Linked DNA regions of Arabidopsis thaliana. The protein of the gene in region 2 interacts with the protein of the main gene of each other region in a pairwise test. Each region holds a gene or a part of one and is shown on either strand. Other genes may lie near its edges.

Region 1 (3,758 bases), on a different chromosome or scaffold from region 2:
ACGTAATGGAAATCATCTGTTCCTAAAGTTAATTTGTCGACGAATTAATTATCATTTTGGTCTTTTGTCTCTCTTGAAATCATAATCAACTTTTGGTCAAAATCCTTTTTTCATATAATTGTAATTAGAAAACACCCGGCGATGCATGTGACAGACTATGATTTCTTACAGTAGAAAATGTAATTGCCTTTTTGTTCATCGAATGGCAATTAAGTTTCAAAAAGACAAAAACTAATATTCTTGATCCAAAGAAATTCAACTATGCAACCAATTCTTTTCTATAAAGTTAATCATGATATAAAATGTACACAGATATAGAGAACTTTTATTTTCTGTAATGATATCACATAACTACGTACTGTAATTATCACAATCTGACCATTTATACCGTAAAAGTTTCAACAACTATATATATGGTATGATGATTATTATATCTTTCTACACAATGTTTTGGTATGTCACTCACTTAGTCACTTCCTCTCTTCCATTTCCGTTATCCACTACCGTTCAACAAGTGGCATGTCGTTCTCGCGAAATCTGCCTCGTTCCATAAATCAATCTCCGGTATATAGTAATCTGGTGTTAAACCGGTATTACAACCGGACCGGTTCAGTCCATGATACGGTGATTGTGAAGTCTCATTAACGGCTGGTATTGAATACGAGTTGGGCCCATTTAACTGTGAGGCAACGAGCCGATCCAAAGCGGCCCAGCTAGTGATGAAGCTGGGATCCATAACTTTGCTGACGTGGCAGTTGTTGACTTGGTCGTCGATTAACCACTGATAACTCGTGATGGTGGTGTTGTTATGGCATTCGAGGTTAGGGAGTTTTAAGAAAGGGTCTAAAACTATCTCTCCTTTACAAGATTGCCCCATAACTTCGAGAAGTTGCTCGATAGTCTCCTCATTGAACGACGGCGTTTTCACCGAACTCGCCGGGCTACTACTAATCATGTTTTTGCAAAGGTTATTTTTCTTGAAAACACGACACACCACCCATCCTTCGTCACTTCCTATGACATCACACGTTTCTACGTTGACGTCATGATCGCCACACGAGGAGATTAATACACTCTCGTCGAGTCTATATTCGTGCATGATCCAATCGGATTTCTGACCATGAGGGGCTCGACCTTTGTAGAAGACAAGCGTCTTTCGCATCCCGATTCTATCACCATTGGTATATATGGTCTTGTCACGTCCCGTCGCTTTCCAAAATCCGACCGTGGTGGCTCTGTTGGTTCTAGTCCCGGTGGGATACTTCTTGTCCTTATGGCTATAAAAGTACCAATCGTTTTGCGGCGTCGTTCCAATCTTACACATCTCTACATAGAAAAAACAAGAGTTGTGTTAAGTTTTGACTGAATTTTGTTACTGCAAATTTTATTATCACAAAAAGTATATATTACTCTGCAAAATTTCCTGAATTCAGAGCTTTAGTTCTTGACTCAACACATGCATTAAAAAACTAATTTAATTAATATATACAAGCCCTATTAATACGTTTCATCAAGAATAAAAGATAAATGATGAACCTTGAATATCCCAAGGCTCGAGCTTGTTGAGATCAATGTCAGGAATAACATCGAGATCGATCTTGATGTTAGAGATTTTCTTGCGGAGGTAATACTTCAAGAGCTCTTCCTCGGTTGGGTGAAACCTAAAGCCAGGAGGTACTTGTGACTGTCCGTTTACTGATATGTTCATTGCTAAAGATAGAAAAAGGAGAAGAAAATAGAACGAGTTTATAACTAACCAAAGTATGTCTATATATATGTGTATATTTTTTACATCAACTCTGCAAAAAAATAAATAATAGTACATGCATGAGAAAATGCATGTGTTCTTTTGCTCTCATATTTTTAATTCCTTTGTTAAGTTTTCTTTTTAACAGTGGAGTATTATTTTTCCGAATATTTGATGTTTTCATTATAAGTTCGCATGAGCCGCCACTTACAATTAAACATATGAGCCTCTAAGAGCTTGTTTTAATAATTTGAAAATGTCTGTTTTATACTCATAGTGAATGCACTTCTCGAAAAATTACTCCCTATGAGTTTTTACTTAATTCTTAGTTCATACCAAGTATATCCAGCCAAAACAAAAAAAAAAAAGTATATCGATCAAGCTTCTTCGGCCTTTGGTTTTGCCGACTTTTCGCTCTACTAATTGCCTAGATTAGCATGTTAGTTTTGTTTTGTTTTTGCTTTTATCCAGAAATCTCTCGTAATGGTTGATTCGTCATGAGTTCACCTAGTATTTAAAAATCTATCTATTTTTCTGCATGATTCAGTATCTCTTTAACAAAGAAAAAAAATATGATTCAGTAAATTAGATCCGTTATAAATACAATGTTGCAATATTTCATCTAATAAAAGTTATAGTAATGTCTCTCTTTTTTTTTTATTTTTTTTTGGGTCAAATATACTAATGGTCTCTTTATTAAACATCGAAATTATTTGCTCTTTTTGTCCGGTGAAATTGTTTATGGCAATTTCGGAATAGTGCGTGAGAGAGAGCGGTGGGACCATGCACGTAGCTATTGGGTAAAAATATGGTCCACGCGGGATCCACATATCAACTATAATGTAGGAAGCAAGCCCACATCGCTCCGATGACCCTCGACCTTAAAAATCTCTATGGACAAGACATTCCTCATTTTATTTTTATTTTATATAGAAACGAATAGTGTTAACAAAAAAAGTGAATGAAGGGTGATGGCAACAAAAAATGTATGTGATGTGATGAAGAAAGACTTTATACATTATTGTGTTAAATACGACTTTAAAGCTCGTAGCTTGTTCTTGTTGAAGGTGATGCGAAGATAATGATATACTACATGATAATCCACAACCTCCTTAGAAGATGGAGAGAAAGAAAGAGATTAAGATCTGATTCAAGAAGCGTTTATCAAATATATGTGAAGTTAACATTGCAACGAATGTCTAAGATTCGAATATTGTGCATGTGGTTCACTCGAACTAATCATAAAGTTAACCTATCTGGTATTCAGGAAACGACGGTGGATTCGATTCATCCAAATTAAAATTTTAAATTATTGTATTAATTTAAACTTGAATGACGGCATGAATCTAGATGAACAGTTGTTTACAACTGTAAGCGAGGAGGTATCTACGTATGTTGTAGATTTTGTGGGGGCCTATTTACAAAAGGTTATTTTCTGAATTTCCTTTTTCTTACACATGGTTTTGAGATTATAATAGATTAATACGCAAGGGCCGTTCAAATTTGCCATGTGCTATAGGATAACATTGTTAATAAAAAATTAAATCATGAGATTAAAATTTTGAGTTAATGAATATTCTGAAATGTCTTTTTCATTTTTCTAACATGGTTCTGAGTTTATAGCAGAGTAATATATAATCTGATTAAAACGAACGTTGTTGCGGCACGGAGCTATGATAAATTGATGATAATTAGTGACAAAAAACTAAAATGATATAATTGAAGTATTACAAATCGTAATTTTTCTAGAAGATGAAGGAAGTTTGCATGGGAAGCAATCTTAATTTGAGGTGTTTCAAAATTTATTAAACCCTTAATGGTGAGACGTCATATAACTATATATATTAGCACTCGTGCTTGTCGGACTTATAACTTTAGCCTAATCTTAAACTGTTTCTGGCCAGCTTTGTGTCATTGGGCCTGAAATAAAAGAGTTTCTCCCTTTTGTTTTGCTCTTCTAGACTTTTGGCATTGAATAGGGAAGATTAAATAATCTCTAACTACGAGTCTA
Region 2 (3,758 bases):
GAACCAAAACAGAAGAATCTGGTAAACCGCGTTGAGGCCGCCAAGTGTGAGGTTGCATCACACCTAACCGCTGCAACGCTCTTTGTTGCCTTACCTGTTGATCAACATTCCTTAACCTGCTTATCCCCACTCCTCTCCCATCTGATCCATCCTGTTCCCCTCCTAAACTTTTCCTTATCACCAAGATTTGTCCGGATATCGCATCCCTTAAGCAACGGAAATGCCTCGAGATGGTCTGAAGCGCAAGGGCTGTGTATGGTTTGGCTGCTCCACATCCGGCTATTACATCGAAAGACGACACGACTATCTGCATCTGATGGTAATACTGCTTGTAATTTCTATCCACCTTCAAACAACAAAGAAACAAACAACATTTATGTTACCACGAGAATCATTAACAAGTGTAGAAGATATGTTGTAAGGCGGATTACCTCGTCTAATATCGATAAAAGTTTCGACAACTTGCTCTGCAATTCTTGCCTCTCTGCTTGAGGGATTTCAGCAGTATTCGTCTGAAGATTCTTCTCTTTCACTTCATTAATCTTATCTCCCTCTGGCTGAAACTGCTTTAGAGCTTTCTTAACATTAACAGTTTCATCAAGAAGCTCTTGAGCAGCTTTGAGATACTTTGAGTTGTGAATGGTTCGAGTAAATCCCGAAACAACCTGTGTTGCATACTCATTGTTATTATTGCCTCTCGATGTCTCAATCTGCGAGCTGAGGCCAAGACGCCTCATCACCGGGAAGCGATTCCTGTCATTGTCTTCTTGATCTCTCCAAGAACCAGAATCTTGAATCTCAACCATTTGTGAAACTCCACCAAGGCTTGACAACACTTGAATCTCTTTTGAAGGTGACACATTATTAGTTGAATCTCTAGGAAATGTCTCTGTGAAAGAATTTGTGTAGTTCATTGCGTTTCCAGGGACAAATTCTGGTCTGGAATAAATCTCACTTGAGCCAGTTTTGTAATAAGTGGCCATAGTCTTCTTCTTCTTATGATCAGATCAAACAAGGAGTCATCTGTTTCAGAATCAAACACAAACAACACTAAACCCTTTTTATACTTCACATTATGTAATAAAATCTTAATTAAGCAAATTTTAAGAAATTGAACCAATGAAAATTATGAGAATTATCTCTCTGCATGAATTTAAGAATTTAAAAAGAAGAAGAAAGGATAGATTAAAGAATTACCAGGAAAGCATCTGCTGGCTTTGTGGGTGTTAAAGGAGACACTAAATCTCAAATTGAAGAAGGAAAAAAGAAATGTTTTTTTTTTTTTGTTTTAACTCTTGATGATCCCAAGAACACAAACTTAACAACAAACTCTTTATCTCCTCAAATCAAAATCTTGATAATACAAAATGTTTTACCCACACAAAAGATTCAAGAAAACAAAAGATCCATCCTCCTTAAAGCAAGTTTCCTTTTTGAAGTAGAGATTTCATTAAAAGCTGGTTCTTGAACTTGCTTCTTGATTCTTCTTCTTGTTTCTTGGAGTCAAGTCTTTTGGTGAAGATAACAAAAACAGATCAAAATGTTTTCAAGAGTAAAAATGTGGTAAGGAGATTATGTTCTTAACAAACCAGTTGGTAGAGATCTAAACCCTTTTCTAAAACCTAATCCTAAACCCTAATGCCTCTCTCTTTCGTCTCTCTGGCCTTTCTGTTTGTTTGCTGCAATAAAATTGAATGAAGCTATAACCACCATACAATCATTTTCTGTGTTTTTTATATTCTTATCTAAAAATATTTGATATATTCCTGATTGGTGTCAATAGTAAAAGATATTTTCGTAATTCTTCTATAATAATGTGTTTATCAAGCATATTTGGAGAATAAGACAAATATATAATGAACGTTTTTCATATCTAATTTTGGTGCTATGCAATTTTTTAAATATTTCATGTCCGATTTGTAATCAAAGATAATATTAATTTTTGTGTAGACTAGTCCATCTTTATTAGAGTGGGGAATAATTTGGGTAACGACGTGTCAAAGTTTACACACGGATGTTTTTTTTCAACTTCTTTTCAATAAAATAATTTCACTTTTTTGGTAAGCTTTTTACAGTTTCTTCTTCTTTGTCTTTAAATTTCACTTTCAAGTTTCAACATTTGATTTTTTTTTGTTCTTTCGAATAATATCTGTGATGGTCCACATGCTATTTACTATATAGTTGCATTTGCATACAACTATTTTTGCAAGGAATAAACAAAAAAAAAACACTTCATATTCTTATCTCTTTCTCATAAATAATGAATAAGTGGCCTTTTTCCCCACTTAGCTTTGTCTTTTTGTGCCCACAGATTTTAGGTATTTCTACAAATTTTCTAACTTTTACTTTCTTTTCACTAAGTGTAGGTCCATATCTTGTCATGGAGGACTTTACGATTACGAATCAGAAACAAATTGAGAAAATCCCAACTCCAAGACATTTTATAATAAGTCTGATTTGTAGTATAAGGTGGTACGAAATGGTGGTAAGAGGTAAGTCAAATTAAAATGTGTGGTGAGATATCTTAGTGTGATAGAAAATGGTGGTACCACCTTTTCTTACCAACACACTGAAAGGTTATAGTTTTTGCATGGAGAGACCAAAATAGACTTTTTGTGAATTAAGTGATTTAGTTATTTTCTATGAAAAAAAAAATTACGAAATACACAAGAGTTAATTTTGTGGGAAAACATAGGTAAGCATTTTATTTAAATTTACACTTCAAAATATGAGAATAAAAACTTGAAAAGAAAATAAAAATAGTAAATTGGGGTGGATAAGTGAAGAACGTGAAATGATGGGTAGCGAAGAGAAAGAAGTCTGAATTGGGACAGAGATGGCAGAAGGAGAAAGAGAGAGAGAGACCTGGACAATGGACAGATAGAGTCAGTGGATAGGGAAGAGTGTCTTCATAATATACGACGACCAACCAACCCTTCTTCTTATTATTATTAATCCAATATGAACATGACGCCGAAGATATTTGCTTGGGAAATAAGAGAATTGTAAATGTTAAGTTTTTATTAGTGCCCTACTTACGTTGAAGTTGAGATTCTATTGCTTTTAGTAAAAGAATTAATACACAAAACACTCGGATTCTTTTTGCTGGTTGAAATACGTTTAATTATTAGCATGATTATCTAGTCCAACCACTTCCACACTAATATAAGCACCAAATGCTCATCAGTTACATAATTTGAATTCAATATAATCCTAGAGCCACATTTCTCTAAGAGAACCAAGTATCATATTCCATTTGGTCCCCTGAAGAATTAGATGAACCAGCTTGCCGGAACTTGTTGAACCTGGGTCTCTTGGGTGAGAGCTGAGTATCTTGACCAACTAGACTACAATGGAATGTTGTTTATGTAATCTTCATTAATTTTACTGATAATTAATCTGGTTCATGATAATGTGACAAAACAAAAAACATTGCGAGTACAATTAACTTGATCTCTTCAAATTGTCTACCAACTTATCTATGGAAAGAGTTATTAACTCATTAAGGACGTGTCTGTTCCAACCATTTAAGCTATTGAATCTGTGCATAGGAGTGTCACAGAACTATATCTTTATAAGAGATGGGAAACTAAATTGACACAGTTTTGAGATTAGCGATACAGAGATGATGCCAAACCCAAAGCCTTTGTGGCAAAAATGACGGATTTAGATTCATTTATAATATTATAGACAAACCTTATGAGCTTGTCTTTGCTCTTTTCCATACAATGACAACACCATAGAAATCAGACGAAGCC

Evidence for each region. The genes of interacting proteins can lie anywhere in the genome.
Region 1: the proteins of BLH7 (region 2) and NAC066 interact in a two-hybrid assay, tested with the Arabidopsis thaliana proteins (one large-scale study listed by BioGRID).

The regions. Positions count from the first base shown.
Region 1 is NC_003074.8:22,928,700-22,932,457, forward strand, and holds NAC066 (NAC domain protein 66), read right to left. Parts: upstream 1,758-3,758; 5' UTR 1,709-1,757; coding exon 1,537-1,708; intron 1,327-1,536; coding exon 494-1,326; 3' UTR 307-493; downstream 1-306. UniProt on the Arabidopsis thaliana protein: Transcription activator of genes involved in biosynthesis of secondary walls. Together with NST1, required for the secondary cell wall thickening of the anther endocethium, which is necessary for anther dehiscence.
Region 2 is NC_003071.7:7,102,218-7,105,975, forward strand, and holds the start of BLH7 (BEL1-like homeodomain 7), read right to left. Parts: upstream 1,712-3,758; 5' UTR 1,198-1,711; intron 1,024-1,197; 5' UTR 984-1,023; coding exon 432-983; intron 347-431; coding exon 1-346. Other genes in the region: AT2G16405 (Transducin/WD40 repeat-like superfamily protein), read right to left, coding at 3,698-3,758.